Bombyx mori: one gene and its partner. The protein of the gene in region 1 purifies or fractionates together with the protein of each later gene. This does not show direct contact. Links are inferred from orthologs where the notes say so. Each region holds a gene or a part of one and is shown on either strand. Other genes may lie near its edges. The genes, in order: AP-2 complex subunit alpha and protein numb.

Evidence for each region.
Region 2: the proteins of AP-2 complex subunit alpha (region 1) and protein numb purify together in Drosophila melanogaster (affinity purification with western blotting; 5 studies listed by BioGRID). This does not show direct contact. The link is inferred for Bombyx mori from reciprocal best matches to the Drosophila melanogaster genes AP-2alpha and numb.

Annotation. Positions count from the first base shown.
Region 1 is NC_085114.1:9,468,455-9,472,874, reverse strand, and holds the start of AP-2 complex subunit alpha, read right to left. Parts: upstream 2,949-4,420; 5' UTR 2,714-2,948; coding exon 1-2,713. UniProt on the Drosophila melanogaster protein: Adaptins are components of the adapter complexes which link clathrin to receptors in coated vesicles. Clathrin-associated protein complexes are believed to interact with the cytoplasmic tails of membrane proteins, leading to their selection and concentration.
Region 2 is NC_085118.1:8,445,061-8,448,888, reverse strand, and holds part of protein numb, read right to left. Parts: exon of another isoform or gene 3,590-3,828; intron 1,778-3,589; coding exon 1,502-1,777; intron 308-1,501; coding exon 156-307; intron 1-155.

The DNA of each region.
Region 1 (4,420 bases):
TTTGAGCTTGTTTGTTAGGTTCCAGTCTCATTAAACATCCAACTTGTTGCATCTTTGTATGGACAATGCCGGCACATACAAAGTTATCTGGATTAGGATCGATACCATCTAATAATTGCATGCCAAATCCAGCCAATTTTGTTCTTGTGCCAGTCAAATCAATCGGTCCCTGAGCTTTGAAAATCTTTTGGGCTCTCTGTTGTTCGCCTCCCAAATTTTTCCACCGTGCAAAGAATGATTCACCATTCATTTCAGTTGGTTCAAAGAATTTGTTAAGGGTGAGTGGGAGTTTCATTGTTATTTTCTGTGGTACATTGTTATATATAAATGAGACTGACATGCTTGGTACATCAGTAAAATCTTCTATACATTCAGCTGTCAACATTTGTTGGATTTGAGCACCTGCTTCCAATATAGGTTCCATTGGTTTCATTTGTACATTCAACTTATGCAAGTCAGTCCAATGTAACTCAGGATGGACATTCTGGATTGGAAATTGGGTTTTGTTGCCATAAAATAGGCCAATTCTGCCAAGATTTTGTCTGAACTCACTTTTAACACCAATTTGGATCAATTCATTTTCAAAAAGCACCCCATTGTTTTTAAACAAAAACTTTTTGATGTTATTTTGCTGTACAGTACTGGGGCTTATTTTTGTTGATGTGTACAAATCTCCAAGTACATCCAATAAGCCATTCCCTGTAGTAGGGGCTGCAGAACCAGGTGGTGTAGACAGTCCTAGGAGATCAGCACTGGAGCTATTAGTATTGTTAGTAGAATTTAGTATAGCAGTGGGAGCAACAGTGGGCAGAGGGCTCTTTGATTCTCTAACATCATCTGGAATACGACCTGGCTTCTTCTTTTTCAATACTGCTAAGATAGAAGATTCTCTTTCAGGGAAAGCAGGCATTTCTTCTAATACTGTGGCTAAAACATCTGTACTGGCTACAATACTAAGTTGCAAGTATTCTGATGCCCTTTGTTGCAACTCAACATCAGCTGAACGTAAATTAGAATCTGCCTTAAATACTTCTTGAACTCTATTTTTTATTTCTGGGAAAAGATTAACCAACTTTATATACGTTGATAACAATAGGGCTCTTGTTGCAACAGAACACAAATGGTATTTGGAATGTAGAAGTTCAAACTGAACTTGTGGTGATGATCTTGTATCTCCAGCTATCAAGTTACCAAACTCTCCCAGAATGTATCCTCCAACTTTAACCATATTCTCATGGCATGTTGGGGCTTGTAATGCTTCAAATACAGTTTTAGCAGCATATGCTTGAACTTCATCTCTATTTATTACTATTTGAATTACTCTGTACCAAACTTCTTCTGAGACATAATCACCAGCAATTCTTATAAGATTAAGAATTACATCCACATACCAAGTGAAATCTGTAGCATACTTTTCTGCTAATATAGCAACTTTTAACACCATTTCTTCTCTGATTGAATAATCAGCAGTTTCTAAATAAGCTAACATTTCTTGTACAATTTCTTCTGCATTAGTCTTATCACACATTGCATACAGAAGATCTACAGCCTGCTGCCTGACAGAAACATCTTTTTCCATTTTCATTGAGAGGATTACTATTTCTTGATGCTTTTTTACTGCTTCATGAGAAAATTCTGATGTAGCTAAATGACACATTGATTCAAGAGCTAAATAGCGCAAGTTAGTTTCACGATTACTAAGAAATTGTCCCAGCTGATTGCAAGCACGAACTAATAAGTTAGGTTCACTGTCGTTGTGTATAATAAGACTTATTGCTTCAAAAAGAACAGCATTCTTGGCATTGGAATGTTGCACTTTTTTAGATTTTGGTGGTTCTTGAGCTTTGTTGAATATTGTTTCTAGGCATTCTGAAAGACGTCCTCGAACTCCAGGTTCTTCAGATGGAGGGGTGTAGTTTTGTAAGAGGCGTAACAGTTTGACAGACAACCAAGGAGCAGGTACAAAGTAATATGTATAATCTTGTAAATCTGTGTAACTGGCAGTAACAATTCTGCTAAGTCGAGCTACAGCCAATGTTACACAACCCTTATACTCATCAGGATTCTTCTTTACAAGAGCATCAATCAAAGATGTCGCTGCAGTTACTACACCCATATGGGGGTCATTCAAAAGATGAATTATGCGAGAAGTCCACTCTCCTCCAGGTATTATCTCAGGAGATTTGCGAAATAAGCGAAGGAGGCAAAGTGCAGCAGATTGTTTCACTACATCCATGGTATCACCAGAGACAAGAAGTTTGGGTATTTCAGTACCAAAAGCTTCAGCCATATCTTTGCTACCAATGTTGGCAATACATTGAAGAGCTAAGTTTACATGAATAGGATTGCGAGACTGCAAGTCGTTTTTAATGCTCTGAATGATAAGTTTAATGAGGTCACTGTTGGTATTGACTAGGACAGATATGAAAAGGTATCCAATCTGTTTTTCGGAGTATTTATTGGATGAAAGTAAGTTTACTGCTTCCATGTGCCCGAAGTCGATATCATGTCCGAGCAGAAATATAAACAGAAGTTTACACACATACTTCTTCTTTTGATATCCATCTAGAGTTTTATCACCCTTAAACTTACTTCTTATATTTGCAAGCTCCTTGTTGATTCTCTTTATTTCTGCTTCTTTACTCTTACAGTTTCTTATGTCTGAGATAAAGACAGCGAGCCCTCGCATACCATCTCCTCTGACGGCAGGCATATTGCCAAGTGACTTATCGAACACCAGTTTTAAGCCTTTTCTTTACACTTTTTTAGAAATGAAATAGTTTAATTCTGCTAACACTATGCTACAAAGCGAACTACAAGAACCCGGTGTAAAATTTCAATAGCTATCGGCCGTCATTACGATTTAACCATGAAGATGAGCGCCCTCCGTTCGACAAATTCTACAAGTTCTACAACGCCTTCCTTTTTCCATAGATTGGAGGAAACGTCACAGAACGTTGTTTATGGATCAATATTGACCTGCACCTACACTTTCATACTTACGAATATTCGACTTTCAGATATAGGACATAAGGTCGGGTTTTAAAAAATTGTGTGTTCTCACTACTTAATTTGACAGCTGTCAAAAACAACGAGCAAAAAGTTTCGTTTTAAAGATGCCTCAGCCATGGATTGTGGAAATAATACCTACATTTTGTAATCCAAGGCGTTGCGCTTACTACATGAATTCGTACTTTTAATTTAAAGGTTTGTTTTTTTTTATTTTTATTAATAGTATTATAAAATATAAAATTCGTTCGATGCTTTTATCTTATTTTGAGATTGCCTAGTATAAAAAAGTACTTAATCAAAATCGATTTTTTAACAAACTGATTTCAATTCATTCTAACCCTAGTCTCAAGCCTGTAGAGTTTGATTTTGTATTTTTCACTGAAGTAGGAAACCTAGTATTTTTCCAGGCCATGTAGTCTTAAAAAATACGGTATGTCATTTAGTCATAGAGTTACTATTCTAACTGGAGTGCTTACTTCGTTTGACATAAAAACTAAAAATATACTTTATCTCTATGGCTTAAAGTTTATTTTTAAATAGCAAAAGATGTAAGGAAAAACGGTCTGAAAAGAGAATGACTATTAAGTGGTGGTGTCCCTCTCGCACATTTTACAAACAAAAAGCAGTGTTGCTAGCTTAGAGGATTTTCCACAAAATCTCGTAATTTGGACCCCTGTCTTAGTTATCAGTAGTATCAGTAGTAGCTTGGGCTTTTTTTTTATTGCTTAGATAGGTGGACGAGCTCACAGCCCACCTGATGTCAAGTGGCTACCGGAACCCATAGACATCTACAACGTAAATGCGCCACCCACCTCGAGATACAAGTTCTAAGGTCTCAGTACAGCTACAACGGCTACCCCACCCTTCGAACCGAAACGCATTACTGCTTCACGGCGGAAATAGGTGGGGTGGTGGTACCTACCCGTGTGGACTCCCAAGAGGTCCTACCACCAGTAATTACGCAAATTATAATTTTGCGGGTTTCATTTTTATTACACGATGTTATTCCTTCACCGTGGAAGTCAATCGTTAACATTTGTTGAGTGCGTATTTCATTAGAAAAATTGGTACCCGCCTGCGGGATTCGAACACCGGTGCATCGCTTCATACGAATGCACCGGACGTCTTATCCTTTAGGGCGTTGTTGAAAATTATCGAAAAGGTTAAAATCAATCCACTTTACAGGATTTTAAACATTTTATGACAATAATATATCTAAATACATATTATTTAAACGATGTGACTTAAACTTAACTAGAAAATGCTGCGAGAATTTAGAATTTCCATCAACGTCAAAAATTAAATTGGTTCAAAAGAAACGTACAAAGTCATGGTGAAATTAGTTGCTGATGATGACAATTTATTAAAATAAATTATATAAGAAGTATTGATTATATGATATATATTG
Region 2 (3,828 bases), on another chromosome or scaffold:
CCGGGTCAGCTAGTCAGTAATAAAATACGATCAGCCAATAAAATATAATTGGAAAACTAAACGGGATAAACGAAGCCCGTACGCATACATAGGCTGCAAACAAACAAACACTTATTTTTGTGTTTATTAGATAATTTTATGTATCAGTCAAATACCTAAATCCTCGTTCGTGATTTCTGTCGGGCGCGCAGAAGGACACCTTCTCGATGGTCTGATCTACTATCAGTCCTTTTGTTTCTTCTTCCACCACCCTCAGACCGTCGCCGCTCACGTGAAGGACTGCTCTAATTGGACGACGACGTGAATTCTGGAATATGTAAATAAACATTAAAGGACAATGCCCAAAAGTGGGCCAATTTTATGTCAACACTATTTGTAATAAAACAACTTAATTTTAGCTGCAGAAAAAAACAGATTTCTCTTAAACCTGGGTGAGAATATAAAAATCGTTTTCTAAATATGAAACGATATTTCTTTGTCTATCAAATTAAGTTAAAACCATCATGACTCGACAACTTTTTTTAAGGGCTCAAACGCTCTAAGAAAATGGGCATTGTCCTTTGCAGATATTGTTTCTTTAGATCAAAGTACGTTTTAATAAGGATGGGATGATTTGACAGATGCTGTCGGTGGAAGATAGCATTTCAAAACTTATTGACGTAATGAAATGTTGACGAAATTTTATTGCAAATTAATCTATCTATATGTTCTATATGTCTATATGTTCCCTATTGACTCCGAAATGGCTCGTCCAATCCTCGATGAATTTTTCAGGAAATCTTCAGATCGGTCGAACTGTAGTGATCGGACCTTTTTTTTTATCCTACCTAAGCTGATAACCTTGAGAGGCTATATCAGCGGAACCTTAACTAGTAGGTGAGCTCACGGGGCTCAAACCTGACGAGATCGGACCAAAGACAAATCAGAGATAGGCCAACAAAGCGCCCTGGATTTGATTGGTCAGTAATAATTATAAAAGCATCGTACAACCTATTAAATCGATAAACAATTGTTAATGATTTTAAAAGTCACGGTCGCTCGTTTCTCAGTCAATTGAAATTGGAATGTCCTGGTAATACAATGCTGAATTCATTGGTTCTCGTTAACGATCGAAATGGCAAAAAATCTAGTATCGATCTTGTAGGATGTAAATAACCGGTCCGATTCAAGGTCGATCACTTTAAACGGCTATAGATTTTTACTTGCCTTCGCAACTATAGTTTTGAACGTGTCCAATGTAAAAAAATAATTAATTTTTTTTTTAGAAGACTAGACATTATTGTCAGCCAGTTGTTTTCTTTTATTATTTTTTATATGAAAAAAATTGTTAATTAACCTAAAATGTTAGGATATAGGAATGGCGTTATAAATACAGTTGTATCGCGAAGTGAAGAGACGTCATTCCAACATGTCTTGAGATACCAGCCCGTAGACGTATAATAAATAGATTGAAAACAATCTTATTCTTCGAACTGAGTGTTACTAAATGTGTTGTACTGACCCTGAGAACTTTGAGTGCCTCTTCGCAGACCTGCATACCCCGAGACTCGAAGACCTCGACGCAGCCGAGATACTTGACGGGGAAAGTGCAGGTACCGGCACGAACAGCCGCCTCGTCGGCGTGCCATTGGTGCGGCCGCGCTGATTCCGGCGGCGAGCCCTTGCGGCGTCGGAACGACTCGCGGAAGGAACGTCGCAACCGCTCCATGCCAGCACGCGGCGGCGACAGCGCAGCGCCAGCGCGCGCTCGTCTCAGCGAGCTTCGCACTGACGATTTCTGAAAACACATTAGACACTCTTTACCAATCGCAGCGGATAAAGTGGCGGATGAAAGGCGATTGCATGCAGCAGAGATGCGAACGTTGCGATGGATGTGTGGAGTAACGAGAATGGATAGAATACGGAATGAATATGTTAGAGGAAGTCTGAAAGTGGCACCTGTGACAGAGAGGCTGAGAAGTGCGCGTTTGGGATGATATGGACATGTGATGAGACGAAATGAAAATGAGGTTGGTAAGAGAATGTTAACTATGAATGTGGAAGGACATAGAGGAAGAGGTAGACCTAAGAAATGGATGGATTGCGTGAAAGACGATATGGGTAAGAGGGGAGTGAGCGAAGAAATAGGATATAATAGAAGAGTATGGAAGGAGAAAACATGTTGCGCCGACCCCAGGTGACTGGGAGAAGGGCAAGATAATGACCATGATGATACCAATCACAGCAAAATTGAAGTTAATTAATATATAATTTCGTCATATTCTGACGAAAAAACCGTTATATACGAATTTTTGGATTTAAAACATGAAGCTAATCCAGTCGCGAATTAAGGTCAGACGAAGATAAAACGTTACTGTCGATTTTCAAATGCTTAAGGGCACTACGATAGTATCTTTTTGCCTATTATCTAATTTGGCGATGGAGAAACATAGATTTTAATTAATCAAAATAGCGAGGTAGAAATTTAAGTATCAATTTAAATATATTTTTATCAGAATCAGCTTTCGAATCTCTTCGAGTTCACTAGGTAAAGCGGCCTAATAAATCTGAAAAGTTTCTATTTACATACGCTATTAGGAACAGAATGTAATCATTTGCGTAATGGTGATAAATATATTTTACATATTGGTTATTGACAACACGCTCAGCATTCACGACCGTGTTAGGACATTACAAAATCAATAATTTTTTCTATCGAGATTTTGTAAATATATATTTTGGATTAGTCCGAGGCACCTTGTCAAATTATTATCTTATCCGATTGTTGTCATGTGATTATCAAATTTACTGTTTTCAGATTAATCAAGAAACAATAAAGAAATCACGATCGATGTCTACTGTGCCACATGGCTCGTTCCTTGTTGTATAAAACTATTCAGAAATTAAAGATTTTAGTCCGAAGATACAAAGTTACATACATCGTGTTTTTTTTCTTTTGGGAGCTTCGAATAAGAAATACGTAGAGGAAGGCACTCTAGGAATGACAATTTATAGGTTACAACTGATTTGTTAATAATAAGGTAATTTTTTTTAGGCAATGGCTCCACCTTGTCCTCTGATTATATAGGTACACCATCGCCTTGAAAAGCGATGACACCTTGAATTAATTATTTAAAATATTAATTCTTCTTTTTGTTCACCTTATCCCACTAGGTGGGGTTGGCACAGCTAACTTTTCTCTTCCATTCTCTTCTATCAGCCGTCAGCTCAACACTCACTCTTCTCTCTCTCATATCGTAATTCACACACACGCACGCACACTCCATACATGTCTTCTTCGGTCGACCTCTTCCTCCTCTATATTATTAATTGAAATATCACTTAAAATATTATAATATTCCAAATAATTATTTAAAAATGTACTTTTGTTGATTAATTTAATATTTTTGGTTTGTATAATTGTAGACTAGTTTTAGGAATAAAATGATATCTTAGAGATATACTTTGAGCTTTAAATAAGTTATCATGACTCCATCAACATTATGTGTCGGCACACGTCAGTTTCCTGATGTGATTCTTGATCTGATTCGGTATAAGGAATTCCGCATTCAAATGCCTGCACATTTCATTTAAATACAGAATATTTTTGTTTTTTTTTTTATTGCCCTTGTAGGCAGACGAGCATACGGCCCACCTGATGGTGAGTGGTTACCGTCGCCCATGGACTTCAGCAATGCCAGGGGCAGAGCCAAGCCGCTGCCTACCGTTTAATACTCTCCACAAGCCTCGTTTGAAGAAGGACATGTCATAGCGCTCGGGAAACACCGAGCAACCCTTCGATCAATAATACTACTAGATTCGCGATTAGCGCTTCAAAAACGGCCCGAA